Elephas maximus indicus: one gene and its partners. The protein of the gene in region 4 purifies or fractionates together with the protein of the main gene of each other region. This does not show direct contact. Links are inferred from orthologs where the notes say so. Each region holds a gene or a part of one and is shown on either strand. Other genes may lie near its edges. The genes, in order: EIF3F, EIF4A2, NCBP1 and EIF4G1.

Evidence for each region.
Region 1: the proteins of EIF4G1 (region 4) and EIF3F purify together in Homo sapiens (affinity purification with mass spectrometry; 3 studies listed by BioGRID, with this or other methods). This does not show direct contact. The link is inferred for Elephas maximus indicus from reciprocal best matches to the Homo sapiens genes EIF4G1 and EIF3F.
Region 2: the proteins of EIF4G1 (region 4) and EIF4A2 purify together in Homo sapiens (affinity purification with mass spectrometry; 6 studies listed by BioGRID and IntAct, with this or other methods). This does not show direct contact. The link is inferred for Elephas maximus indicus from reciprocal best matches to the Homo sapiens genes EIF4G1 and EIF4A2.
Region 3: the proteins of EIF4G1 (region 4) and NCBP1 purify together in Homo sapiens (affinity purification with western blotting; 3 studies listed by BioGRID and IntAct, with this or other methods). This does not show direct contact. The link is inferred for Elephas maximus indicus from reciprocal best matches to the Homo sapiens genes EIF4G1 and NCBP1.

The regions. Positions count from the first base shown.
Region 1 is NC_064825.1:63,220,206-63,228,011, reverse strand, and holds the start of EIF3F (eukaryotic translation initiation factor 3 subunit F), read right to left. Parts: upstream 3,005-7,806; 5' UTR 2,987-3,004; coding exon 2,584-2,986; intron 1-2,583. UniProt on the Homo sapiens protein: Component of the eukaryotic translation initiation factor 3 (eIF-3) complex, which is required for several steps in the initiation of protein synthesis.
Region 2 is NC_064819.1:28,258,275-28,265,905, forward strand, and holds the start of EIF4A2 (eukaryotic initiation factor 4A-II), read right to left. Parts: upstream 3,020-7,631; 5' UTR 2,942-3,019; coding exon 2,913-2,941; intron 2,026-2,912; coding exon 1,980-2,025; intron 1,897-1,979; coding exon 1,764-1,896; intron 1,653-1,763; exon of another isoform or gene 1,584-1,652; intron 1,483-1,583; coding exon 1,343-1,482; intron 581-1,342; coding exon 412-580; intron 117-411; coding exon 7-116; intron 1-6. UniProt on the Homo sapiens protein: ATP-dependent RNA helicase which is a subunit of the eIF4F complex involved in cap recognition and is required for mRNA binding to ribosome.
Region 3 is NC_064827.1:47,538,671-47,545,591, reverse strand, and holds the start of NCBP1 (nuclear cap-binding protein subunit 1), read right to left. Parts: upstream 3,016-6,921; 5' UTR 2,648-3,015; coding exon 2,614-2,647; intron 1-2,613. UniProt on the Homo sapiens protein: Component of the cap-binding complex (CBC), which binds cotranscriptionally to the 5'-cap of pre-mRNAs and is involved in various processes such as pre-mRNA splicing, translation regulation, nonsense-mediated mRNA decay, RNA-mediated gene silencing (RNAi) by microRNAs (miRNAs) and mRNA export.
Region 4 is NC_064819.1:30,774,622-30,781,929, forward strand, and holds the start of EIF4G1 (eukaryotic translation initiation factor 4 gamma 1), read right to left. Parts: upstream 3,009-7,308; 5' UTR 2,878-3,008; intron 2,592-2,877; exon of another isoform or gene 2,008-2,591; intron 1,784-2,007; 5' UTR 1,750-1,783; coding exon 1,690-1,749; intron 1,388-1,689; coding exon 1,301-1,387; intron 244-1,300; coding exon 67-243; intron 1-66.

The DNA of each region.
Region 1 (7,806 bases), on a different chromosome or scaffold from region 4:
TTTGGGAACATTATTCCATCTATTGCAAATAATACTGCAATAAACACAGGTGTGCATAAAGCTATTTGTGTGATGGCTCTTAACACTCTAGTGTTTCACACTTCTTATATTTGCTGGAATGCCCAGCTCAAAATCCATCTTTTCTGTAAATCCTTTCCCAACCTTCCAAGATAGTCTCCTGTACTTCCACAGCACTTCGAACACCCTTCTATCAGATCACTCATCACGTTACATTCTTATTATTTGTATATAAGACTATTTGTCCATCTTAAGTTTAAGGTTAGAGTACAGCTCATTTTCTCAAACTTTGAATTCTAAGTATCTAACAGTTTCCAGTACTCAAAAGGCACTCGTAACTTCACTTAAACAAATGAAATATGTTTCTTGAATGAACGTGTACCTGGGAAAATTCCAAGTTTCTTACAGGCAGGATCTATGCTTTGTCCTTGTATAAGCACTGCCCCTATAACACTTTGTGCTATACCGCGATCTCCATCTGGAAGGGGACCTTCCAGAGGATTGCTGTGATATTTGGGGCACTAAGCATAAACCAGGAAGCCCTGGTGATGCAACAGTGAAAGCACTTGGCTGCTAACCAAAAGGTTCGAATCCACCAGCTACTCCATGGAAGAAACATGTGGCAGTCTGCTTCCACAAAGATTTCAGCCTTAGAAACTCTGTGGGGCAGTTCTACTCTGCCCTATAGGGTTGCTATGAGTCAGAATCAACTTGACGGCAATTTTTTTTTTTAAGCATAAACTTTGGTTAAATAGTTCCACAAAGTTCAGAAACCTTGACAGTGTAGCTGAAGGAGTAAGTCAGTGTTTGTTGACTACCAAATCAGTGATGCAAAAATCATTTGTTACAGGACCTCAAAGCAGGGCACAGTCAAAGAATGTGCTCATGGTTAGAGAGGTTAAGAATGGGCTGAGGATGTGGTATGAGGTGGAGGACTGGTACTGGACATTTGCCCTGGGAACCTGGCAGATGGGTACAACTTTAAAAAACAACTGAGGCACAGCAGGGATGGCATTTCTGACAAGGAGAATATAAACGTAAAGGCTTGGTTTGAGAAAAGCCATAGCTATGTTTGGAAGCCAATTGTTTAGTTTCTGTAAATACCAAGTGCTACACCCACAAAGATAAAAAGGAGAACTTGTGTGTGTGTGCTTTGGTGGTGCAGTGGGTGGTTTGAACCCACCACCCACCCTACGGGAGAAAAATGTGGCAGTCTGCTTCCACAGCCTTGGAAACTCTATGGGGCAGTTCTACTATTCTACAGGGTTGCTATGAGTTGGAATGGACTCGCTGGCAATGAGTTCAGGCCTGATTTGGTAAAGCTGTTTTGCATCTAATGTATACCAGAACTGAGTTAGATGCTTTCTGTAATAACTTAGTTCTCACAAACACTAAGTCTAAAGTAGCCCTCAAAAGAACTAACTTTGGGTAATTTGCCTCAAGGCACATGGCTAACATTTGGTGGTGTCTGCATACAAATCTTGTCCTCACACCTTAGAAGACAATGTATTGTCTTCTAAGGTGTAAGGACTACTACATTTTCAAGAGTAAGAAAGAGAAATGATGCACGGGACTGGAGTGGGTCCGCAAAGATGTCTAAAGCCTGCGATAAAATGGAGTGAAAATCAATCTCGTGGGACCAGTAGTCCCCAAAGAAAGACATTTATTATTAACAATACATCTTCAGTGATTTTAAGTTTTAAAATGACTTTAACATAAAACATCTATTCTCCAAACTTGGAACACGGGCAGGGAAAAGACTATTCTTTGATTTGAAGGTCAGAGTCAATCATAAACAGATTAATACAATGGTTTTTATCCAAATAGAGAATCAGAGACAGCATTGGGAAAACGGTTTATCATATCAGAGATGGTGTTGAGGCAGACTCAGGGTTTAGGAAGACAGAATACTATAAAACCTTCAACAGGCTCCAGCCAAACTGGTTTACTTGTTAGGAAGAGTATCTTTTTATAGATGCCTCCACTCCTTGGCCAGCTGGTTAGAAACTTCTTTGTAAAAATTTGGAAAATAGAGACATTTAGACAGTGGATTAAAAAAAAAAAAAGCCGTTGTTATTAAGTCGGTTCCGATTTATAACGACCCTACAGAACAGAGAATTGCCCACTGGGTTTCCAAGGAGCGGCTGGTGGATTCGAACTGCTGATCTTTTGGTTTAACGAACGTTTAACCACTGCGTCACCAGGGCTCCAGTCAGTGGTAAAGGAGGGAAACTTGGTCACTGTGCTTAGGGAATCAAGAGTCCTAGTTCCAACTTAATCACTTGCCAGTCGGCATATGAGCATATAAGCTCACTTTTGGTAGAATGGAGGTTATCATACTTGACGTGAAATGGTGTTGGAAATAAAATGTAAATCACTTGGTACCCAATATTTATCAGTAAATAATAACTATCTATTATATGTGAGATGCAGAAACAAGCAAAAAGTGGGGGTGGGAGGAGGGGGCAGCAGGACGCCAGAGACGAAAGGGTTATGAGAAGGGGGAGCGATACATGGGAGGTGGGCGGTAGGAAAAAAGAACGTCGGTATTATCTCACCACTCACCCAGCAGGGTCCCGATTACTCGGGCAGCGCCCTCATTGCGTCGCTCATAGCTGTCCACGATGGAGGCTAAAATGACCGGGTGTAGCCGGACCACGCGGCCGCCGGGGAAGGGCCCTGGGAGAGCTGGACCAGGCGGCGGCGGCGGCGCCGAGGTCTGCGCTGGGGCTTGCACTGAGGCCGAGCTCTGCGCCGAGGCCGAGGTTGTAGCCGCTGCTGACGCCGGGTCTGAGGATGAGGCGGGGGCAGAAGCAGGAGCCGGGACCGGTGCGGAAGCGGGAGCCGGAGCCGGAGCCGGAGCAGCGGCTGGACTTGGGGCTGGGGCTGGGGCTGGAGCCGACTCCGTAGCCGGTGCTGGGGATGGAGTGGCGGGAGGAGCACTCGTTGGTGAAGGCGGTGTGGCCATCTTGTCGAAAGAGAAGAAGCCAAGAGCGGAAAGGAGTGACTTAGTGAATTTTACGACTTTGATAGGCTAAATATGCACCACGTGAACTGTATCTTTCCACCTATTGGTTACTGATGGTGCTTCTCGGGGCACGAAAATTTCCTGCTCTGTTTGTAATTTCTTCCGGAGTTTGTGTGACTGCTTTCGGTCCGATGAGCACGTCATAAGAACCACGGTAAATAGTTCCGGGTAAATTTAAGACCGCGCTGGGAGATTAAAAATAACTCCACTCAGTTTGCCCATGTGCCGCCAGGTGGAGCCAGAGAGCAGCGCAAGGTCGCAGTTCGTGTTTTCATTCTTAAATGGGAAAATGGATGTCAAAGTTCCATTAATAGGGCTTTGTTCTTGACCAGATCATAAAGTGTCAATAGGGTGGTTCATTCTTTCAACAATTTGAGTGCCTACTATGTTTCAAACGCTCTTTTAGGGGCTTTGGATTTATCAGTGGACAAAGATCCTTGAATAGCTTACATTCTAGCATGGAAAAAAAAACTCAAAAAGGAAGATAAATAACTAATGCAGTTGTTGTTAGGTGCCCTTAGGGGTCAGCTTTCTCACTCTGTCGGCTCCAGAGGAAGATTTCTTGTCATCAATCTTCTCCTGGTCAAGGAGCTTCTCAGGCACAGGGACCCCATGTCCAAAGGATGTGCCCTGCTCCTGTTGCTGCTTTCTTGGTAATATGAGGTCCCCAGCTCTCTGCTTGCTTCCCTTTCTTTTTATCTCTTGAGAGATAAAAGGGGCCACACCCCAGGGAAACTCCCTTTACCTTGGATCAGGGAGGTGACCTGATTAAGGCTGGTATTACAATCCCACCCTAATCCTCTCAACATAAAATTACAATCACAAAGTGGAGGACAACCACACAATACTGGGAATCATGGCCTAACCAAGTTGATACACACATTTTTGGGGGGTCATAATTCAATCCATGACAGGCATGTCTACTTTGTCCTGTAGGGTCACTATGAGTCAGAGTTGACTCGATGGCTACAGATTTGGTTTGGGGTTTTATTATCATTACTATAACTATGGGGAGGAACCCTGGTCCTAGCTTTCTGTGTGACTTTGGACAAGCTTCAATTTTTTTTTTTTTTCAGAGCCTCAGTTCCTTTCTGGTATAATGGGGATGATAGCTCGGCTGCTAACCAAAAAGTCAGCAGCTTGAATCCACCAGCCCATTCTTGGAAATCCTATGGGGCAGTTCTGCTTGGTCCTGTAGGGTCGCTGTGAGTCGGAATCGACTCGATGTTAACCGGTTTGGTTTGGAACATCTGTCTATACCGAAACCTGTAAACTCCTAAGTTAGGTTAAGTCCCAGCTAATCCAGCTGGCAAGGTGGGTGGATGAGGTTGGATTTCCTACCTCTGACTTTTATGCCCAAGACTCGCTTTCCCCTTGAGGTTACCATCCGTAATTAGAATTGTTATACCTGCTTCTGTCATGCTCTGTGTCAACACACATTCCTTCTCTGAATTCCCCAAAACACAGGTTAATAGCCCACCAGAGGTGGACTGAAAAGTGGCTTTTGTTTTTGATAACCTGATGTCTTTAGCAACCCCAGTAGAAAACTGGTCAGTGGAATTGGGTGGGAGGGGGACATATAAACCAGAATTCAGGTGTGAAAGAATGGTGAGTTTGAGGTGAAGGGTGTGTGTGCTGGCTATCTTTTCAAGGAAGTTGCCTGGGAAGAAAAAGAGACATTTAAGGAACAGCAGGGTTGAGAGGGGACAATTGAGGCCAGAAGAGTTTTAAGTGTACTTTAAATTGCAGGTAAAGATCTGAAAGAAAGAGAAAGATTGAATATATAAGAGTCAGCGGCAATATCTAATGAAATAAGGGAGGAAGGAGGGCCTGGATTGAGAAGCCTTGATGAGTGGGATGGCTTTACAAAGGATGAGGGGCATGCAGGAGAGGCTGCCCTGGCCTGTTGGCCTCTCTTATGGTGCCTAGTGGCGGGGGGTGGGGGGGTGGGGGGGTGGGGGGGGAGGGGATCTACCTAGGCCAGGGCTGGTTCCCTGACATCATCTCATGGGTCAAGGCCAGAGGAGACAACCAGCCCAAATGAGGTGTTACTGCCCCAAACTGAGCACTCACACCCGTGGGACCGCCTGTCAACGAGTTCATTTGACTTGGATGTGGATACTTCACCTTCAAGAACTCACTTTTGCCTTTATATCAATGACCATAGGACCTTTCTCTCTGGAGGGGGAAGGAGATGATGAAGAATCAGATAAATTTTGAGCTGGGGAGAGCAGAGAAGTAGTGGGGGGCTCCTCTCAAATGCCATCCCCCCCCTCCCAGGGAAGTGGAAGCAAGGTGATCTATTGAGAATGGCAATGCCAGAGCAGGGTTTAGGCTTGGAGGAATGGGCAGTGTTTGGAAGACGGGCTGAGGGTGAGCCATTAAAAGCCATACAAGGCATTGACGATTATGGGAGGGCTGCTGAGCCTGGAGAGCTCAAGTTGTACAAGGACCAGCTGGCCGACTTTCGTGATTTCTTTCCAGCAGCCATGTAGCCCAGGGGCAGGAGGAGATCATTGGCATTGTCTTTCCACAGGAGACAATTGGCAAGGATCAGGGAGTGTGTAGACACAGGCTACTGGCTTTCCAATGGCTGAGTGAGGGATCCAGGAAGGCTGCTCCCTGTGAACTGAAAGCTTGGGAGCCTCAAATTTTTCAGGTAAAGGGTGGAAGGAGTGGGGAGAGAGAACAATGGACTATCCCCCTTTTATATAGAATGTGTTGTACAGGGATTGCTCTAGGTTTCTGGTTGCTTGGGTACACGCTTAATGGTTCTGCCTGAAAAGACCAGGGTCATACTGCCTGCCTCATGATAAGACTGCGGCCTGTAGCTTGATAAACTTATCCCATCCTCTAGATCACTAACTGAAGTGAAAGGAGCTGGAGCTACAGCTCAGATTAAGGGAGGACAACAAGGGAGAGCCCCAGGCTATCTCAAGTCTGTAGCAAGCGAGAAAAACAAACAAACCTATTGCCGTCCAGTCGATTCTGACTTATAGTGACCTTATAGTCAGTTCTACAGTGCAGAACTGCCCCAAAGGGTTTCCAAGACTATAACCTTCACAGAGGCAGGCTACTACATCTTTCTCCTGCGGAGCAGTTGGTGGGTTCAAACTCCCTACCTTTAGGTTAGCAGCCAAATGCTTAACCACTTCGCCACCAGGGCTCTTTCGACAATAGCTGTTGGGGCCTAATTTGGGGAAGCTTTCCTCCTGAGAAAGTTTGCTTGATTTTTTTTCTGACGGGATTGGGGTGGCAGTGAGGTCATTTCAGGCTTTTTGGAAGATTTTGACTTAGAAATGGTGGTCATGCTTAGCTTCCCCATGCTTTTTAATGCTAATTGACTTTTAAAACTCTAAGCATGTTTGATAAAATAAAAGTTCAACAAAGAAAGAATGCGGCTAAGGAAGTAGAGGTAACACGTATAGACAAATCTTGCCAAAGCATGGCAGTAGAGAGGGAATGAGGTGACATGAGAAATGCAGGGTCAAGAGAAGGTTTCCTTTGTTTGAACATGGGAGGGAGTAGAATATATTTGAATGCTGTGGAAAGAGATCCAATAAAGGTGACACAGAGAGTAATTCCCTGCTCCAACCTTTCCCACTACCCACTAGTCCCTCTTCCCTGAGGGTGACTTCTCAGAAATCTACTTTAGATTTCTTTTCTTACATCTTTCCATTTCTAAACAGTGTATGTATACTGCTACCTTTTGATTAACCAGTTTTAGGTGTTATCTAGGGACTGCCTATTCCAGCCCACAAGCATTTAACTCTTCCATCACCATCCTTTCAATATGGTTATGTTACCATTTTAGTTAGATTGATACTCAGTGGTTACATCATTATTCCTATGTAAACATTATTCACACCTGAGTATTGTCATTTACTATTATGTTTCCTTTCGTTTTGCTTTTCTCAGAGTTAGTAATTCCTTATTTTAGTTCCATTTGTCTAGTTTTGTTGGTGTTACCATAAATCACAGATTCGAGCGGCCTGCTGCAAAGCCAATACTGAGACAGGAGGGAGGTCAACAGCAAGAGGGCTTTACTGAATACCGGTATCCAAGAAACAGAGGGGATAGTTTACTCCTAAATTCTGTCTGTCTCGAAAGAGACAGCTGGGCGGTTTTATAGGGAAAGAAAAGCTAAGTCCAAGGAATCTGGAGAATTTTTAATTCCCCTTTGAGGTGGTCTTGCAAATCACCTTCCAGACGTGATGATCTTTTCCAGGTATTCTTAGGGTCCCTTCTGGAGTCATTGAAGTTTGGTCTTCTAACATCACTGTCTTCTGACTCCTCGGTTCCCAGATCCTATCACTTGTTTTTCATGTTGAGAGAGAACACGCAGGTTAATCTTAAGCCTATACAGTGCTGAGAGAGAACAATCAGAAAAGAATCGCAAGGCGTGCTATAGCTCACAGGGGTTTCATCAGTTCCCGTAAACATTAACTTTTCTACCATCTGGATGTTCAAGCAATATTTTCCCACTTCATTGGCACTTATTGCCAGTTTTTCCCACAGTCTTCCAATAGCTCTAGTACAATTTTTCGGGTCAATCATAATAGTTGATCTATGAATCCTTTTCTTTTTTTCCCCCTTGGAGATATTCTTTCTGGAGAAATCCATTCCCTGTCAGAGACTTCAGAGCTCTCAGCTCTCTAGACGAGCTGCCTTCTAGGACTGTTTTTTCCTTGTTTGGATTCCTATTTCATGGATCTTGAGTCTTCCTCCTTCTTTTGTTCTGGTGGAGGGCATCCTCCAGT
Region 2 (7,631 bases), about 2.5 Mb from region 4:
GCTCACCTGAATACTTGTATTTAATTTTTGAAAAATCTCATAGATTTGATCCTTAAACCCTCGGCTCAACATTTCATCCGCTTCATCCAAAACAAACATTTTGATCCATTTTGGAGCTGTCAAAAACAATGTTATACTATCATTTCTGGATTCTCCTGGATACAATTTGACTTCCCTATTCAATTTATCAATAAACCAAAAACCAAACCCAGTGCCGTCGAGTTGATTCCGACGCATAGCAACCCTATAGGACAGGGTAAAACTGCCCTATAGAGTTTCCAAGCAGCACCTGGTGGATTCGAACTGCGACCCTTGGGTTAGCAGCCGCAGCACTTAACCACTCCGCCACCAGGGTTTCCAATTTATCAATAGCAAACTCCAATTATGCTCTAAGAAAAGGTCAATACTTACAAAGATACCGCCTGTTTAACATATCAAATACTCTCCCTGGAGTACCAACAACAATATGTGGTGCTTCAGCCTGCAGTTTTTGCATTTCATTCCGAACATTAGTTCCACCAATGCAGGCATGACAAGTTGCTCCCATATAGTCTCCAAGTGCCAGAATTACCTTTTGGATCTAAAAACCAGAAGCCTCAATTATTATCCTACTGAATTACAGGCTCTATCGAAAAACTTCCAAAACAAGGCCAAATATGTGGTCTGCAAACAGCTTTTACGCATGCACAGCACATTAACTACTTCCCAAGCTTAAAATGCAGACTTTACGAACTGCTTCAAGATAAAATTTCCTTAAAATGTCTCACGTTTGTACCTTGTCAAACTTGGGGTTCTGTCTCCCTTCAAGTATCAGCTAAGTGTACCAAAGATATTCCCTATTCTTCAATGTGTAGGAAAGTGTAAACAATGAAACAAGCTGTTAACACAACTAAGGAAAACTGTTAACGGTTTTTAAATTTCCCGTGGTGTATACTGTGGCTTGTGATCTTGACCTTAATAAAGCTTATTTTTATTTAGGAAGATTTACCTCAAGGCCAATACAATTGAGCTTTGAAAACAGCATACAAGAGATGCATCACAATCTACCAAGACAGTCGAATGTTAACATGACACTGCAGTTTTCATGTTGCACAACTGCATTCAAACTTAAAAACGGGCATTTATCTAGTGAACTCTGAAGAAATTTCTGGTTTCTCAGTACGTTGAGAAACAATCATCTGCATACCCAGTTCCTGTTTAACTACCTATAAAACTCCCTGCATGCATGGTCAGTTAAAAGGAAGGCTCTGATAGGACCAATTTACACTAAGTTAAATCCTTCAGTTGTGAAACCTGAAACCTATGCAACACGCAAGCAGTTTTTGAACTACACTATCAATACCTGTTGAGCCAGTTCTCTGGTGGGGGCCAATACTAGTGCTTGGGTCTCCTTGAACTCAATCTCCAACTGTTGCAGGATGGAAATAGCAAATGTGGCTGTCTTGCCAGTACCTGACTGAGCTTGAGCAATCACATCATACCCTAAAAAAAGTAGGATACATATTTACCGATCCCACATCAAACCGTCACTTCTAGTTCACACCATGTATTCCTTTTGGAACACGAATTATGCCCAAATAATTAAGTGATCAGCAATGAGTATTCTCTTCATTTCAGGTCAGTCCCGAAAGATGATTGCCATCATTTCACTTTAAGGAATACAAATAGGTGCTAGTCCCCCAGAGGTTATTTTATTTCCCTTTCACGGTCCAGGCCTGCAGCACAATGAATTCGTTTTCTAAGGCCAACGGGTTTTCTTTTACCTTTAATACAAGGAATAATAGCTCTCTGCTGAATAGCTGAAGGCTTCTCAAAACCATAAGCATAGATACCCCGCAGAAGAGACTCCTTTAAATTCATATCATCAAAGTTATCCACAATTTCATTCCAGTTGCTCTGTTTTAAAAAAAAAAAAAAACAGTAAATAGGAGCACCAGTCTCATCTGCCCAGAGTTTCAAAACCCACACACATTTCTTACCTCAATGACACCATCGGGGTCCATTCCCTCAGGGCCGCCATGTTCTCTGCCGACGAGAATTGTGCAGTTAGACACCATCCCTTTACCAAGCCACCTTCTTCTAACCCTTTCGGATAAAATAGAGCCCAGGCAGCGCGGTAGCTAAGCGCTCGGCTGCTAACCAAAAGGTCGGTAGTTTGAAACCACCAGGCGCTCCCTGGAAACCCTATGGGGCAGTTCTACTGTCCTAGAGGATCGCTATGACTCGGAACAAACCCGACGGCAACGGGTTAGGGTTTGGCACGTGTGCGTTTCCGCCCAGAGCCAATGAAGACCCGCGTGCGAGCACACATCGTCCTGTGCCCCTTCCCCGCGGGCTGAGGGCCGGGCGCCGGGAACGGCGGCCCCGTTCCCAGGCCCAGCGCCCGCCGCTCCCGTCTCGGCGGCGCCGCTTCTCGCGAGAGCTCCGGAGCTCCGCCCCCCGCACTGCGCAAGCCGGCCGATTGACGCGGCCCCGCCAGGCTCTGCCAACGGCTCGCCGGGACCCCCGTCCGCTCGGTCCCGCCGGCCCGGACCGCGACCACCCTCCCCCACCCCACCCCACCCCTGGGCCTCTATCCGCGCGTAAACCTCCGGGACCCCGCCACCCCGTACCGAACGCACACTGCGCCACCGCTAAATGCCTGCCGTGCTCCGCCTGGGACCGGCGGCGACCGCCAGCTCCTCGAGAAAAGACGCCCTTTAACCAGTCCTCTTAATACCCCTGCCCGGTCTCCCCGCAATCTGGGGCACTACCCACCATGGAAGTTTCTCGAACGGCACGAGGGTGCTGCTGTACCCCACAAGGAAACGCCAATGAATCCGGAGTGTCTTGCCTCCGTGCCACCTACTACCACCATCTCTGGCGCCACACGACCTTCACCACAAAATACTACCACCGAGAAAGCGCCATACCTGTTGTAGTCCGCGGAGCCACCAGACATGTCCAAAAACCCACTCAGCGCCCGACTGAAAAGACAGCGGGCCCGCGCCACCCGTTTTTTATATGCTCGCAGCCGGAACCCGTTTCCTGCGGAGGAATTTCCGCTTGCTCTTCGCTCGGCCCCCCCAGTTTTAACCCTGAGGTCGTTCCCTCACATAAAACCCGGTGCAAGTTGATGGGAAAATCTAAATGTGATAATTCCTCGATATTTCAGGAGCGCCGGAAGTCCCCGGAGCCCGGGGACCGGCTGGGACTCTTTGCTTTGCGGCGGAAGAATATTGCAGCAAGAGGCCGCCGAGAACCGCCTTCTCCGCCCGCCCTGCTCCTACGGGGTTTCCGCGTCCCTGACGCAGAGGCGGGCCCTGGGAGCGAGCGGGCGGACGGGAGGCGGAAGCGCGTTGCTCCCCGGGCGGCCCGGCCTCCCGAAGCCTGTGGGGCCCGACTCTCCGACCGCTGCCCGCCCTCGGATGCAGAGTGCGCGACGTCCGCATGCTGCACCTAGGGGAGTCGGGCGTTTCCGCCTGTCCGCACCGCCATTGAACTTGACGCTAAAGAGCCGCCTTGTCCTTAGCCCAAACGTTATAACGTCCGTTCAGGTCATGAACTTGTGAAGGTCCTGCTAGGGAAAAAGTCGGCCACCCAGCACGTCCCAGAAAACCCGTTTCATCGGTACATTTTACAGGACGAGGGGGAAAAAATGTATAGTGTCCTTGGAAAGCGTCCCTGGAATAGCCAAGTCTGTTCTCAGGTTGCTTCTGGTTTCCTCTTGCTCTCTTAAAATTAATGCTAATAATTTTAACCTAACCTAACAGGTTTACTTCATAGTTGCAATTAGCATTATAAACTTTTGCAAATGGATAAAAGTTAAGGAAGAGAATTTTTCCTTATAACACAGGAACCTAAATAGATGGACGCTTCCGGCGTGTACAGCTCCAGACCGCTTTGGAACTGGATAGGTTTTGGTTCCCGTTTATATTGGTCGTTTTTTTCCAAAAGTCTTAAATTTTAATTGCCTGGATATAATAAACGTTGATTTATTGAAATTGAGAGCAATACAACCTTTGCTGCTTAAGCAACCCGCAGGATTCTTTAAGCACCAAAGATTTTCCACGGTAGCCCCAACCCAGCCCCAGTGATAAAAATTAAAAAAACAATATAGTCATTTAACTTTAAGGTACAGTTCTTCTACCCACACTGCAGGGTATCATCACTAATACCCAGGAAGACATTTTCTAAAGTCAGGAGAGCAGCCTGAAGTCTGACTACTGGAAAAAATCTTACCGATTTCCTACATTATAGAAGAAGTTTGACTATAGTAGTACTTTTTTTTTTTTTTTTAAGAGAACTATTTGATAATTTGGAAACACTAGTGGTTAAGATTTCAGCCGCTTACCAAAAGGTGAGCAGTTCGAATCCACCAAGTGCTTCTTGGAAACCTTATGGAGCTCTTTTACTCTGTCCTATGGAGTCGCTTTGAGTGGGGATCAAGTTGATGGCAACAGCCTAATGGGGGTAAATTTGTTCGTTCTTATTGTGGCAGAAACTGTGACAAAAGTTAAAATACCAAGATGACAAAGTTGACCTGGCCCTCAGTTTAGTAACACTGCTCCTCATCCGCCCCCCTGCAATGTTCAAATCCAGATGTGAGGTGATGCCAGACGTTTCTGAACATGGTGGTCAGAGATTCTTATTGTCTCATCCAAAGTCTACTGAAAAAAAAATTGGGATCTAAGAAACTGAAGAAAATGTTTAAAAAAAAAAAACAGTGGCCAGCGCTCACTTGAATCTTAGGGCAAAATCAATCAGCAATTTATACTTAATTGTTGAGTGTTTTCATTAGATTTAGCACTATTGCTAGATGCTTTGGGGGATTTCCAAAGGTCTCTTAAAAGGTAGGAATCAAGGGCTAAATGTGGTGCTAATGGTTAAGCACTTGACAAGTAGCTGAAAGGTTTGAAGCTCCTTGAATACAGACCTGGCGACCTACTTCTGATAGGTCACAGCCTTGAAAATCCTATGGAGTTCTAATCTGCACAGTTGGGGTCTCCATGACTTGGAATCGACTTGATGGCAACTAACAACAAACCTAGGGTGGAGTCCCTGGGTGGTACAAATGCTTCGGCTGTTAACCAAAGGTCAGAGGCTCGAGTCTATCCAAAAGTGCCTCAGAAGACAGGCCTAGCAATCTGCTTCTGAAAAATCAGCCATTGAAAACCCTGTGGAGCGCAGTTCTAGTCTGACACACATAGGGTCACCATGAGTTGGAGTCAACTCCATGGAAGCTGGTATGGTATGGCAAACCCTAGGGTTCAGGTGACAAGTGCTGAAGGAGTTTCAAGGCAAGAAAGCTTCATGATAGAGTCAATACCAGGCTCACATTGCCTGCAACCCTATAATATATTTCTAAAAATGTTGTGCTTACCACATCTGCATTTTATCCTCCCTGAAAGTTGAACTTTTGCACTTACCTCAAAGCCAACTACAAATGCTTCTGTGCCAACCTAGAGTGTGTGAGATCATTTATAGAACAAATGATGCTAAAAACCAAAGATTCTTTCCCAATGTGAGCCACCTGGTTTAGTTTTGCTCTTCAGTAGCCTCCATAGACAATTCTAACCCCATCTAGCATTTGTATGCCTTTGGTCCATTCAGCAATTATAAGCCAATATTCACCAGAGGGCCAAGGAATTAGTACAGATGTGTTGCTAATACAGGAAAAAACAATAACAAAATCTTAAAAGAGGTAAGAAGGAGAGTCAAGAATAAGACGGGGCTGCTGCGTCCCAGGCAGCTTGTTGAGGTTGGTTTATACAGGCAGGATCAGTTTCAAAATACAAAACGGCACGCACCCATGCAGGTACAGAACGCTTTAGAATGAGTAAACATTTTCTAAGGCCCGGGTTCAATTCCCCGCACAGGAGGAACTGAGTCATTTTTGTTCATTAGTATGTCAGCTCTCCACCCACCGTGCATAAAGCAGTTAATGAGCTGACTGAGTATCATCTGGAATGCCAGGATGGAGGGCAGGACCTGTTTTAGCCGATTCTGGCTAACTGGTGGCTGTCTCTTTAAAGAAGTTCGAGGAGGAAAAGAAAGAACTCTAGGAAATGGGCTGGGTGAGGGGCTGTCTTGAGGTTAAGAAAAATGGCTGTATGGTTCTAGTCATGTCTTAGCATCGCTAGGGTTGGTGTCACCCAGTGTGGTGACTCATGGTGTCACCCCCTCCCCCAGGGACCTCCTCCTGTACTAGACCATACAGAAGCCTTAGTAATGTCTTTTTACCAAAGTCACTTGTAAATCTTAATTCCTGTATTTCTCTCCTTTTTCTCCTTTCATTACTACTTCATTCTCAAAAAAGTTATTGACATAGGTTCACAAATACTAATTACCACTATAAACCAAAAACAAATCCAGTGCCATAGAGTTGACTCCAACTCACAGCAACCTTACGGGACAGGGTAGAACTCCCCCATAGGGTTTCTAAGGAGCCACTGGTGGATTTGAACTGCTGACCGTTTGGTTAGTAGCCAAGCTCTTTAACCACTAAGCCACAGGGCCCCTAATTACTGCAATATTGCAGCTAAAACACCAGAAAATTTGACAAATTCAGTGACTATAAAAACACCGGCAGCAAGTGAGTGGCATCTGGAGTCTTAAAAGCTAACAAGCGGCCATCTAAGCTGCATCAATTGGTCCCAACACACCTGGAGCAAAGGAGAACGAAGAACACCAAAGACACAAGGAAAATAAGAACCCAAGAGACAGAAAGGGCCACATAAATGAGAGGCTCCAGCAGCCTGAGACCAGAAGAATTAGGTGGTGCCTGACTACCACCAATGACTGGCCTGACAGGGAACACAACAGAGAATCCTTGATGGAGCAAGAGAAAAGTGGGATGCAGAGCTCAAATTCTAGTAAAAAGACCAGACTTAATGGTCTGACTGAGACTGGAGGGACCCCAGAGAACATGGCCCCCGGACTCTCTGTTAGCCCCAAACTAAAACTATTCCCAAAGCCAACTCTTCAGATGAAGACTAGATAAAATGATTCTGGCGAGGAGCATGCTTCTTAGCTCAAGTAGACAAATGAGACTATGTGGGCAGCTCCTGTCCCTAGCTGAGATGAGAAGGCAGAGGGGGACAGGAGCTGGTTAAATGGACACCAGAAATCCAGGGTGAAGAGGAGGAGTGTGCTGTACATTGTAGGGAGAGCACTAGGGTCACATAACAATGTGTGCATAAGTTTTTGTATGAGAAACTGACTTGAATTGTAAATTTGCACTTAAAGCACAATTTTAAAAAAAGAGAGAAAAACGAAACAAACAAAAAAACAACCACCGGCAGCAACAAAAACAGCAGCGTGTGTTTATAGCGCTTGACGAACTTTGTAGGGCTTGACGAAACCACGTGATCTGAAGTGTCATTGTAATTGCATAATAATGACAGCTCAACTGGAGCGCATTACCCAACAAAACAAAACAAACCCATTGCCATTGAGTCAATTCCGACTAATAGCAACCTTACAGAACACAGTAGAACTCCCCTGTAGTGTTTCCAAGGAGCTGCTGATGGATTTGAACTACCAAACTTTTGGTTAACAGCCAAGCTCTTAACTGTACCACCAGGGCTTTAGAGCGCATTACAAGGTTCAAAAAGTAAATTAGCTTAGAGTTTTAGCCTTATGGGTATATT
Region 3 (6,921 bases), on a different chromosome or scaffold from region 4:
TTGCGAGACCTAGAAAACAAGGCAGTCTCTTTGAGTTCAGGCTCCTGAGGGTTTCAATGTAGTAATTTCTCCCCCACAGCACAGTCTCTATCCCCTATACTCAATTCTACTTTTCTTCAAAGCATTCATCACCATATGCTCCATGATATTTTACCTAATCGTTTCTGTCTGTAGCCCTATACAAGAATGGAGGCTCTACCATTATGTTATCTACTGAGGTACTGCCAGTATTTAGAACAGTGCCCAGTACTGTTAAATATTTATTGAATAAATGATTATACCCAGCCGGACACACGGAAAATCAGGGCTATCAGTGGGTGATGAGAGCTGATAATAATCCAGAAATGCTCAGCTATATCCATCTAATTCTGACTTTAGCAATCCCTAGTTTATTTTTAAAATCCCGTTGCATCAAGTCAATTCCGACTCATAGCGACCTTATAGGACAGAGTAGAACTGCTCCATAGAGTTCCTAAGGAGCACCTGATGGATTCAAACTGCTGACCTTTTGGTTAGCAGCCATACCACTTAACCACTACGCCACCAAAATATCCTTCTATAATATTGAAGCTTTTAATATTTGTCATTTAAAAGTATTAGTAGAAGCTTAATTAAAAAAGCATTCAAAATATTTGATTCAGGTCACTGTCTAAGGTAAACTCTAATAATCATTACCCATACTGTAGCAATTTACAAAGTTCCCAATTTGATGTACTATAAGGAGGAACTATAAATTGTCCCTCCATTACTAAATCATCTGCCATAGTGAATTTTGCTTAATTCCTTGTTTTCCTTCTTTTTGTCTGTACTTACTTACTTTGAGGTTCTTGCAGCAAGGTCCAAACGTACAGTCATTTAGTGCCAGCCAATGTTAAAAACAATGTCACTGAATTATACACTCATTTTCCCTCCCTTTTAGGGGTGCCTTAGAAGGGAGAGGGAGAGGAATGGTAGAGAAACACGTAAGAACAAAGAAAATGGGAAGAACAAAAGACTCATGTTCTCTAAACCCTAAGCGATGACTTCAAACATAATACTTTTGGATTAGTCAAATTCTAAGTACACAAAAATTGTAGTTTTTGTGTCCTGTATGTATGTTCCTTGGAAACTCTATGGGGCAGTTCTATTCTGTCCTATAGGGTTGCTATGAGTCGTAATAGACTCGACGGCACTGAGTTGTTGAGATTAGTTTATGCATGTTACACAAGAAGACTCCATGTGTTAAAATCAAAGCATGCAGTACAATAACACCTGTGTAGTAGAGAGAGCCCTGAACTTGCTTTAGCTGGTGTCTGGGCACTTCTTGCTGTGTCTCCATGTTAATTACACTAAGTCTCTGTACCCTTGGGTGTCTGAGGAGGCTGGGCCAGAAAATCCTCTCAAGCCATACCTTAGTAGCAATCTGGTATTTTCAGATTTGTGATTCTGTCCTCACCTCTAACTGCCCCAATATTCAAGAAGAAAATGTACTGAATTAAAAATTTTTGTTCTTTATTTTTTCCTTACGTTGTGGGCATCTGCCACTGCTTATCACCACTTAAGCCTTAACAGATAAAGTAAAAAGAAAAAAAAAAAATCATTACGAGCCATTTGTTTCATGAATTATCTCATTTAACCCTCAGAAAAACCAGAACAGGTAAGCAGCGTTGTTCATATTTTACAGATTAAGAGTGAAAAAAGGTTATATAACTTGGGCAAAACCCCAAAGTAAATCGTGGGGTCTAGCTTGTAACCTATACCCCCAATTCCAAAGCCTGGCCTCTCAACCATTACTCTACACCCTCTTCAGCAAATAATGCACTCAAATATCAATAACAGACTTAATCTTTCATGTCTTTCTGTCTGTGGATGTGTGTTCTTGACTGATTTTCATAATGCTTATGTGAATGTAAGCAACTTTTGCTGTTTTTTTTTACTAGTAAAATTCTTAAGTTTTTACAACGGCCACAACGTGACCCCCATAAGTATAACCACCCAAACGAAGACGGGAACCCCAACTCTAAATCTCTAAGAGCTCTCCTGCTAGTTCTCCGGCATGCCATGGAAATATGTTTATAGTCAGCTTAAAATCTAATGCAATACTATACATCTGCTTATTAGTGAGTAACCTCTTGGGTGAAGACACAAAATCTCTTCTCTCCAGCTCGAAAGAAGGCAAATCAACGGATGTACAGTAGAGGAGTAGAGCTCAGACTGCAATTCACCCGATCTCTCAGTCACTGCTTTGTTCCTTTTCTTCAGTAAAGTCTTGAAAAAGCTATTTTCAGATAAAGCTTTGAGGATCAAAACGAGCGCCTGGTACCAGTGGGTACCGCTCTCTGAGACGGCAGCACAGACATGATGTCGAGGGCCAAATTCTGAAGAGTCCCTATAGACCAGGGGTTCACCAAGCCTCATTCCCCACCATCGGTCGACGACCAAAGGCGCTGCGGCTGGCACGAAGCTTTCCCGAATCCGCCCAGCCACACCCCCGCCCCGCCATCCTCCGTGGCTCCGCGAACGCTCCCGGGAGAGAAGGGCTTGCCGTTCCTTCCCTCGAGACTCGAAAGCCAAGGAAGGCAAACCTCGGCTCCCACCGGAGCGCGCCCTGGCGGCCAGGCTCTAGGCACTCACCATCGTTTTCGTCGCTGTGCCGCCGCCGCGACATGCCGCACGCCGGTGCACTTCAGAACCGAGACGCCGGGCAGGAGGCACGGCAGGAACCGTCCAGCAGCCGGCCGGCGCGAGGACAGCGGCGAGGAGCGCGGACCCACCGGCGCGCAGGCGCAGTCGCTCGCTCCAGCTCCCGAAAACCCAAGGAGGGTCGGCCGAGAGGGTTCGGCGGGCTCGGATCCGGGAGAGACGGCGTCTAGAGGCAAACCAGGAGCCGACGTGTGGTCTGCACGCAACCACCCCCCTCAGCCTTCCTCCGCCTCCCGGCCGCTTCCTCCTCCCGCCAGTCGCTCTATGTCCTTCCGGGGCCACGCACAAACCGCCTCCGCTTCAGCCAGTCAGAGCCCGCCGGCCGCGAGCCAGGCATGTAGGCGGCGGGCGGCTGGGACAGACTCTCTAGTCTCAGCCTCAGCTTCAGCCCCGCCCCCGGGTCCTCTCAATGGTTTTCCCGGCGGCCCTTTCGCTAACGGCCACCAAGACTTCCGGAGCGAGGTGACGTCCGAGCGTTCGTCCCTACGTAAACACACAACCGGGGTTGTAGGTTCCAAGTGCAGTGAGTGACCATTGCTAGGCGGACACAGTTCAGTGAAGAAAGACCCAAGAATAGATCCGACTGGCGGGTACGTGCTCATTTTACCCCCACTTCCCGTCTTGTGCCTCGGGAACGCTGGGCGGACAGATTAGGCCAGGCCCACCGTGCGGGGTGGGGCCGGGATGGGAGCGGAGCCGCACGTGTCGCCCCCTACGATGGGAGGAGCGGCCCTGACGCGAGCCTCCGGTTCCGGGGCTCACCCTCTGGCTGTCATCTTACCTCTCACCTCGACGAGTGGCTGGTTTAAGGACGAACAAGTTGATCGTTCTCAGTATCGTTTTCACTAGCTATTGGCGACTGTGTATGTGTATATGAACATCTCCATCCCTGACGTCTCTCCGAGCACCACACTGGTTTCTCTGACTGCCTCGTCCATGGCCATCTGAAATTTCACAATCGAAAATAGAAGTCTTGTTTCATCCTCCTGGCCTAACCTATTCCTCCTTCAGGCTTACCCATTTCAGAAAATGGCACCATCCATTTACTTAATCCAAAAATGTAGGCTGGAGTCATTCTAGAATTCTCTTTCCTTCACTTCTGCATAACAATCTACCCGTATCTCCTGCTGGCTCTACTTCCAGAACAAATCCAGAATTGGTCCACATTTCTCCACTGCTGCCATTTTTTCTTCATTTGCTGCAAGCGTCATCTCTTGCCCTGATGAATGTCTAACCCGACTGGCCTCCGTGGGTCTTTCCTTGCCTGCAGTCCTTTCCCCCCAGAACAGCCGGAAAGATATTCTTAAAATGTAAATCAGACCATGCTATTTCCTTGTATAAAACTCTCCAGTGACTTTCCACTGCGAATTGCAAACCATGGCGTACACTCTTCTACCTTCTCATCACTGTGCGGCAACCACCCTGGCTTTATTCCCGTTCCTTCAATAAGTCAAGCTTGGCCCCACTTTAGAAATTTACACTCAACTTTTTCTTTTGCCAGAAGGTCTCTGCTCCTAAATCTTTGTGTGGCTAACTTCTTGTTATTTAGGTCTGAGCTCAAACATCAGGCTCTTAGTAAGATCTTCCCTGGCTACCTAATATAAGTTAGCTGTCCCTGCCACGAGATCATGCGTTGCTGTTTTATTTCATTCATTCAGTCATTCAACAAATACTGTATTTAGCACTTACTGTGTGGCAGACGGAAACCCTGGTGGCGTAGTGGTTAAGTGCTACGGCTGCTAACCAAAGGGTCGGCAGTTCAATCTGCCAGGTGCTCCTTGGAAACTCTATGGGGCAGTTCTACTCTGTCCTATAGGGTCACTATGAGTCAGAATCCACTCGAGGGCACTGTATTTTTTTGGGGGGGGGTGTGTGCCAGACATGGCCACAGGGTGGTACAAACAGTAAATGAGCTTGGCTACTAACTGAAAGATTGGAGGTTTGAGTCCACCCAGATGTGCCTTGGAAGAAAGGCCTGGTGATCTCATTCTGAAAAATCAGCTATTTAAAACCGTATGGAGCATAGTTCTACTCTGACACTCATAGGGTTGCCATGTGTTGGAGTCAACTCGATGACATCTATTTGGTTTGGTTTATGTACCAGGGACTGTTCTAGATGCTGAGAATATAGTGGTGAACAAAGGAAAACCTCAGCTCTCTTGGAGCTAAAATTCTAATGACCCATTTACCGTACAGTACCATACCCCTTGCCATCGAGTCGATTCCAACTCATAGCGACCCTATAGGACAGAGTAGAACTGCCCCACAGGGTTTCCAAGGAGCACCTGGTGGATTTGAACCACTGACCTTTTGGTAAGCAGCCATAGCACTTAACCACTACACCACCAGGGTTCCCATGACCCATTTAGGCATGGGCAAAAAGACCAGTGAAGTCTGAATAGGAAGCAAGGGGAGAGTAGTAGAAAATAAGATCAGAGAGGTTGTGGGAGGGAGAAGTATGGCAAAGTCTTTGGACTTTATCTGCAAAAACCGAGAAGCCTTGGAGGGTGATCTTACTTATTTTTTATAGGTATCACACTGGCTGCTACAGTAGGAGGGCATTAGGCTGTTGGAATAATTCAGGCAAGAAATGATGGTGACTTGAACTAGGGTGGTAATGAAGGTGATGAGAAATGGTCTGATCTGTTTATATTTCAAAAGCAACGCTGATAGGATTTTCTGAACAGAATGATTTCTGAATAGGATGATAGTGTGAGAGAATTAAGACTCAAGGATCATCCCAAAGGTTTTTTGCCTGAGTAACAGGAAGAATAGGATTGTCTTTCACTGAGGTGAGGAAGACTGGGAAGAGCAGGTTTGGGTTGGGAGGAGTACATAAAGAGTTCAGTTTTGAACAGTTCCATTTGAAAAACGTGTTAGACATCTAGCTAAAGCTATCCAGTAGACGGTTGAATCTGTGAATTTGGAATTCAAGAGAGAGGTACAGGCTAGAGATAGAAATTTGGGGTCATTCAATATGTAAGCCAAAAAACAAACAGATACAACTCTTGCCATCAAGTTAGTTCTGACTCATAGAGACCTTATGGGACAGAGTAGAACTGCCCAATAGGGTTTCCTTGGAGCGACTGGTGGATTTCAAACTGCAGAACTTTTGGTTAGTAGCCAAGCTCTTCATCAGTACGCCACTAGGGCTCCGATGTGTGGTATACTAAACATAAATTTTTGGTTGTTTCTCTTATTTTTCTTTCTTAGTGGATGTATTTACAGAAGTAGAGAAAATTATATAATGAACCCTCATGTACTCATCATCCAACTTCAGCAGTTATCAACTCAAGGCCAGTCTGGTTTCACCTATGTTAATGTGCTCTTCCCCCCAACCTCCACCATTATTTTGAAGCAAATGTAGTTGTTAAGACTTTGGGACTAGGTGAGATCACCTGGGGAGTGGGCACAGATATGCAAGTTTAACAGTTAAAGGTTGGGATGACTAGGAGGATCCAGCAAAGGAAACTGAGAAGGAGTGGCACTTACCACTATCTGGTATTCACGTTTGTTTATTTTTTAAAATGTTTTATTGTTTTAGGTGAAAGTTTACAGAGAAAAGTATTTTCCCATTCAACAAATCGCATACACAGTGTTCCACACATTGGTTGCAATCCTCGCAGTGTCAACGCTCTCCCCATTTCCGCCCTGGGTTCCCCGTTTCCTTTCATCTGGTTTTCCTACCCCTTCCTGCCCTTTCATCTTTACTTTTGGGGCATATGTTGCCCTGTTGGTCTTGTATAATTGTTTATTCTATGGAGTGTATTCTTTTTGGGTGTTATTGTTTATTTTTTAGGCCTGTCTATTCCTTCGCTGGAAGGTGGTTTCCAGGAATGGCTGCAGTTCCAAGTCAGAGGGGTGTCTTAGGGCCATAGTCTTGGAGGTCTTATGGTTATTTGTATACTTATTTATTGTCCTTTGCCCCTTTCTAAACTATAAAGTCCAAGTGAGTAGAGACTTTGACTTTTTCATTCAGAACTTCATCTCCAGCACATAGCTAGACACGCAGGAGAATGTCCACAAATAATAGTTAAAGTGTATAAATAAATGAAACTAAATTAGGTGGTAACTGAAAGAGATCATTTTGGGGTGGTAGGAAAGGCGTGTGTGAAGATCCTGAACCAGGAGAAAGCAAGGGTTGCTTGTGGAACTAGGCAAAGGTCCAGTGTGGCCGAGCAGAGTATGTGAGGGGGAGTGTTGCCTGAGATGAGCCTAGAAAGGTAGGGTGACTGTTTC
Region 4 (7,308 bases):
GGGGCGGGGGCGAGGACTGGGAGGACAAGGCCCTATGGCTTCCAGCTCCCAAGCCTCCAGCCTCACCTGTCCAGGGATGTAGTAGGCCCCCTGGGAAGCTGGGTAGGAGATCTGGGAGGGGATCATCATGACTTGGGATCCAGCAGGGTAGACATGGGCAGCTGGGCCAGGGCGGGCAGGGGCTGCGCTGGGCACTCGGGAGGCGGCACTGCTCGGGGGCTGGGCCCGGCTAGTGTAGAAGTGCTGTCAGGAGGGAGGAAGGCCGTTGGCATAGGGAAGGGGAGGAAGTGGACTGCAGGCTGGAGAGGAGCCCTGGGGGCGCCAGAGTACAGCGATCCAACTCTCCAAGACCCACTTGGCCCCCTGTACTCACACATGTCCTCTGTGTTCAGATACAGGCTTTGCACTCTGTACGTGTTTACCCTCTCACTGCCATGCACACTCACGTAACCTCCACCAGACTAGTGCTCTGCAGAAGCTTCCTAACACCCAGATGCCACACGCTGAAGGAAGGCCCTTTCAGGCAAACACTCCCCAGCATGCACCGCTCCACCCTAAGGTGCTTGAGGAGGTAACCCCTAACATGCAAGTCTCCCAATCACCAGACAGATATGCACGCACGCTGCAAAACTTAGCCACTGACATGCATTATGGGTCAGCCTTACAGTGACAGCCTGGACGACAACCAAGTCCCCACCATGAAGAGCCCCAGTCCCTGGATCTAACCCCTAACTGGGTGTACGGTGGGGTGAGGCCAGGAGGAGGTCCAGGATTAGGAAAGAAGAATTACCTGCAGAGACCTGAATCCTCCCTGAGAGCACATGGGGACAGGAAAGAAGAGAATTATCCCCAAGGTGATGAGAACAGAAAATGTGGAAGAAGTAAAGCAAAAATCTTCCCACTTAGCGAAGAAGAACTTGGGGAACAGAGGAGGGCAAGAACCACCTGGAGTGATTCTCTGGCCGCTCCAAGGAGAAAGCAGGGAAGAGGAATGTCCACCTCCCGGTAAAGAAACAGGAAAACAGGAGTTGGCACCAGGGCCCAAAGCACTGCCTCCAGTCCTCAGCAGCACCAGGTCCCCGGGAACGCCACCCCCACCGGCTGCACGCTCCCCAAGGGGCCAGCCACCTAAGGAATCAACAGCGCAAAGTGCAGGGCTGCACGGAAGAACACAGAGCAAGTGTCAGGAGCTGAGAACCAGGTACATGGCCTCCGTAGTCTCCATCTGAGACCCGAACTGGCCCGAGACTGCCACAGCTCCCCACCCAGGCCCCCTGCTCCCCTCCCCACGGCCCCTCACCTGGCGGGGCTGAGAAGGCGTGTTCATTTGTGTCACTTGTGGCGTACTGAACACCACCGGCGCTGTCTGCCCCGGGGGAAACGCTGGCTGAAGGGGGGAGACCAGAGTTCAGCAAGTGGGGAAACCCGGGTGGGGCAGAAACCCAAGCTGGTGAAGTAAGAGGGGTAAGTCTGTGGCAAGGCCTCAGCAGTCCACATCCCCCTCCCCAGGACAGCCCCTGGGAACAGCCCAGGGGCCCTGTCTCAATTTGGCAACAGGCCGTTGCACTTTGCCCTGACGCAGATGGGGGTGGGAAAATCCAGAGGTTGGAACCTGTTCCTGACCGGCTGCCTGGCCTTCCCTACACCCTTCTGGTCCTTGCTAATTCCTCAGCCTCCCTCCCTAATTACCTGTGGGAGTCCAGGGGATGGGGCGGGCGGGGGGCCTGTGGGCTGTGGCGCTTTGTTCATTTCATTTGGTGCCACATCAGGGTCCCCCCAACACCTGTTGGGAAAGAGTGGAGCTTGGAAAGAGGAAGAGACCCAAGTTTAAGGCAAGTGGAGTGGGGGAAGGGTTAAGCAAGGGATGGGTCCAAATCGGAGCCGCAGAGGCACCAAGGGAGTGAAGAAGCATTAACGACCCAGGCTGTGTGTACCCACTAACATGCTGTCAAGCCCGCATCACCGCCATCCACCCCCCTGACCTGCAGAAACGGCGCTCTCACTCACCCCCTCGGTTAAGAATAAGTCCACGGTGCGGCCTACAGGTTCTGGGCATCCGAGGGCCTGGGGTTGGGAGGTGAGGGGTATCAACCCGGCTCCGCGGGGCCCCAGACCAACCAGACCGGAAATTCCAGGTCTCGCTGGCACCAGGCTCCCGGCTCACAAACGGAGCTAGCCGCTTCGGCCGTGGCGTCCCCACCCCCCACCCGGGGACACCGGGTTCGGGGCCCGGCCCGGGGACACACAAGGCACGCCTGCCGCGAGCGGCCGCGGGGGCACCGCGCAGGCCGGAGGCGACGCCCGCCGCCGCCCAGGAGCCGAGGCCAGGAAGGGCGGGCGCCGGGCCCTAAAAGGCCTGGCGAGCGGCGGCCGAGGAAGAGCCGGTTTCAGGCAAGCGAGGGTCGGCCCGGAGGGCGGGCGCGGCCGGGGGCTCCTCCCTGCCCGCCGCCGCCGCCCTGCCTGCGCCCTCCCTGCGCAGCGCCGGCCAGTGCCAAAGAACAACGTGTCACTTCCCGGCGGCCCGGCGGCGAAGGGGGAGGGGGCGCCGGGCCGAGAAGCCGCGGTGCCGGCGGGCCGAGGGGCCTCCCCGGGCCGGCCGCGGTGGCACGTCCCGGCCAGCGAGCCCGGCGCCCTCCCAGCCCGCGGGGGCGCACATTCCGGCCCCGCGCCCCCTCGCCCCCGCCCAGCAGCCAGGCCGGGCCGCGCCGGGCACACGTGGGCCGGGGATCGCGCCTTGGAGGGCCGGGGCCCGGGCTGGGGCCGCGGGGCCGGGGCGGCGGGGCGGCGGCGCAGGGCGGCCGGTCCCGGCCCGGATGGCGGCGGATGCGGGGGGAGGGGGTGGGGGGGCCGGGTCGGGCCCGGACATGGCGGCTTTACCTTCAGTCTCCTTCAGTCCGCGCGGCCGAGCCCCACGCAGCCGCACAGACGTAGTCCACAACCATTTCCGGCTCCCCGCACAGATCCCGCTCGGTGGCCACCGCTTCTCCGCAGGCGCAGCCGGCGCCCCACGTGACCGGCGCAGGGGGAGGAGCCTCGCCCCGGCCGCAGGGCGCCGCGGAGCACATGGCTCTGTCCCGCCCCGTCACGTGACAGCCACAGCCCGCCCCCATGTCCCCTCCCGGACTGTGGAACTCCAGACGAGCTGCCTTGTGCGTCTCTGTTTGGTGGTCCTTTACTCCATTGAGACTTTACTGGGTGCCTACTAACTGCAAGGCGAAGTGCGGAGAATATGGAAATTAAGGAGTCCTAGCTAAGTAAATCATGGTGCAATATGCAAAGAAATGCGAATTATACAGTCTTTGGAGGTAATGTAGATTAGATGCTTGAAAGGCTCGTTAACAAAGGAGATTGAATGTTACCCTGAAAGGACTGAAACATTCTAACTAGGAGACTAGCAAGAGTAGATTTGTTTTATACAAAGATCAACCCCTTCCTGGGAGGGGCAAAAGTTAATCAAGGAACCCAAAAAAAACCCACTGCTGAGAATAATGACCAGAGAGTCAATCCCAAAACCCCTGCCTGGCACCAGAAAGATCTTGGAAGCCAGACGGGAGTGCCCTAGAGTGCAACTCACTTACTGGTTTTTAATCCTGATTTCACTACTTACCACGTGGCTGTCACCTACCTACCTGCTTACTACCTGAGGACTCTGGGCAAGATGTAAAATGGGGAGGTTTGAAACCAGGTGGTGTGGATCAAGTCTGAGCTTTTAACCACCATGCTTTCTCTCAATGATGACATCTACACTATTGGATTTTGAGGATTAGTTAGTACATGTGAAAGTGTTTGAAACAATGCCTAGACATTTAGCAAAGGGTCTATCTACACGGCACATATGTTACCTCAAAATAAAAACAAAAGTTGCCATCGAATCAATACCAACTCATGGCAACCTCATGTGTGCAGAGTAGAACTGTACTCCACGGGGTTTTCAAGACTGTGACCTTTCGGAAGCAGAGCCTGATATATATTGCAGGACTTGATGTAGCTAGGTGAGGGTGTCATAAAACAGCCCCCATTATCACCCCCATCAAGAAAGTACAGCTGTAGGGTGGGCATACTTAGGCACAAAGATACCCAATAGTCATTGCTTTTAAGAGAAGTAGGGCAGCAGCTCCGAAGACCAAAAGAGACACCTGGAGGAGAATAAACACACGGATCTGGTGTTCTCCGCGACGCTCATTTGCGCTCTGTGATTGTTGTCATGTAGGACTCTGCTCTCTCATTTCTCTACTTTGTCCCTAAGGAGACTCATCCATGCACTGACAAATAATTACTGCCTTCATGAGAGTGACTTCCTAACTCAGAAACCACGCTCAAACTCCAGTGACAACGAGGTACTACCTAAAAGATGTCCTTGCCTAATTGTCCCACTGGCATCTCAAATTGCGTGTGTTCAGATAGGAATTTGTCACTTCTCCCTGAATTCGTGAACAGACTCCCCCATCTCAACCCCAAACAAATATGCTCATATACGGCTTTCCAATGAATAGTGCCATAATTTAATGCCCAACCTGAAAATCTGGGCTTCATCCTACACTCCTTCCCATCGACACACTACGTTTAATCAAACACTAAGTCTTATTGATTTTATCTTTTTTGAACAAAACTTCCTTTTACCCCTACCCACCTCCCCACTTCTACTGTCCTAATTCAGGTGTCCATTTCCCTTGTCTAGTCTCTGGGCTTCCAGGGTGAGCTTTCTTACCCACATAGCTGATCATGTCACTTTCCTGCTGACATACAATGGTCCCTGTTGAGATACTGTCAATTTCTTGGCATGACAAAGCTCTTCTAAACCTGGTCTACACCTGTGTCTCCAGCTGTATCTGCTACCATACTCTTCCCTGGTCCCTGTAGACTTAGCCAAACCAAGCTATCCATGGTTTCTGAACACATACAGCTTTTCCTCCTTCCTGCTTTTGCTAATTGCTTACCTATATTTTCCTACCCTCTTTCCCCTTGGACAGACTCTTCTTTTTTCAAGTCTCAGCTTCCTCCAAGAAATTTCACCACACTCATCCAAGCACTTAGGCCCTATCCCAATGATCCCAGGGTATCTTGTTCGCCCCCAGTACGGTATTGATCACAATATATCACAATTGTTTTCATGTAATTATCCGTCTTCTTTTCCATTGTGTAAGCTTTTTAAAGATTGGATCTTTTTTTCTATCTTTGCATTCTCCAAACTAGAATAAGGTTCAATGCAGAATAAGGTTCTGTTGATATTTGTTGCTGAACAAACAGTTGAATATGAAAGGTTAAGAACCACTATGAAAATTTCTTACTCTAAAACACAGTAACCAATTTGGAAGAAAATTATCTGTAAAAATGGCATGGCAGAGGCGTCTGACTTCACAAGGGGGAAGGAGAATCAAAAATAGCCCAAGGCTGATTCCTATGAGGCAGAGGTCAAACACACCTCCACCGTCCAACCTTTTTACCAATTCTGATGACAAACGTCCCTCCCATAGCACTCCCTACTTCTCTGCTGGGTTGGATAATTCATTGCAATGGCCACACAGAACTCACAGACCATACTCAAAGTAATGGCGTTTGTTAGGGAAGTAACAGGTAGTTCAGGAAACAGTAATTCAGGATATACTTCTTTGGATCAGGACAACCTCTTCTCAGCTATGCCCACAGGCAGGCCTCTTTCTGGCCCTTGGCCCCTTAGCCTAGACCCTGCCCCGCTCAAGCAAGTGTTACAAAGCTCTTTAGCTCCACCAATAAATGCCCAGAGGCAACCCACCCCACCAAGCCTCTTGCTGGAAGGCACTTAGCTTTCTTGCTCTATGGGCCAGGTAGGTCACCAAGTAGTCCCCTGTCAGCTTTCCTGGTTCTGCTGCCTCTGCTGCCACCATTTCTCTGCCACTGCTTCTCACCATCTTGCCATCTCCAGTGTTACGGTTCTCTTTCGCTGTCTCTGGGTCTAGGAGGGTCTCAGCGCAGAGATCCCAGGTCCAAAGGATGTGTTCCACTCCCCTCTCTTCTTTTTGATGGTAGTCAGGTCCCCCTCTGTGCTCTGGGATTGCTCATTTTAAGGCTAGCAGGATGGCAAAACTGACCAATCCCCTTGTTGGGTTCCTATATACTGTATTTGCATGGTCCCATCCCCACAAGGGTGCCATATACTTATTTGTACTATTAGCAAGATGTCCAGGTCTCTTGGTGGGCCACAAGCACCTTATTTGCACAGTCCCACCCAGTCATTTGGTGGGAGTTACAAGACCATGGTGAGAAATCAAAACCAAACTCATTGCCGAAGAATCAATTCTGACTCATAGCAACCCTAGAGGACAAAGTAGAACTGCCCCATAGGGTTTCCAAGGAGTGCCTGGTGCATTCAAACTGCCAACATTTTGGTTACCAGCTGTAGCTCTTAACTACTGCACCACCAGGGTTTCTATGGTGAGAAAGGCCGTGTAAAAGTGATCAGTTGCACTGCAGGCCACCTTCTGACTTTTCTAGCCATAGTTTTCATACTTGGAGAGTAACCTCCCCCTTCCAATTATTTTGTCAGTCCAAAACAGTCATCAACAATTAGTACTTCCGTAGGGCAAAGAGGCCTCTGGGTGAGGTTACTCAGGTACCAGTCATTCAGGTCTGCTGCAGGTATCCATCTGATCTGGTCAGGTCTCCAAAAGCCATCTTGGCTTCATCTTTTCTAGCCTCTGATAAAATTTAACTGTTGATGTTGTTGTTAGGTGCCGTCGAGTCCGTTCTGTACAACAGAAGGAAACACTGCCCAGTCCTGCGCCATCCTCACAATTGTTGCTATGCTTGAGCCCATTTTTGCAGCCACTGTGTCAATCCATCTCATTGAGGGTCTTCCTCTTTTTCTCTGACTCTCTACTTTATCCAAGCATGATGTCCTTCTCCAGGGACTGATCCTTCCTAAAAACATATTCAAAGTATGTGAGACTAAGTCTTGCCATCCTTGCTTCTAAGGAGCATTTTGGCTGTTATTTCTTCCAAGACAAATTTATTTGTTCTTTTGGCAGCCCATGGTATATTCAATATTCTTCACCAACACCATACTTCAAATGCAAGTTGGAATCGACTTGACGGCGATGGGAAAAATTTAATCAACAGAAGATTATTCCCTTGCTCTGAGCCTCTCTGGAGGTATAATTCCCAATGTTCACTTCCATCATACATTTAGGTCTGCTTTACAACACCAAGTAGGAGAAACATTCAATATCCAGAGTACATGCAGATAAACATGTGACACTTTTTAAAACATTCCAGTTTCATCTTCTCTTCTTCACACCTTAACTGTCTTCCCATTCATACACATATGGCCTC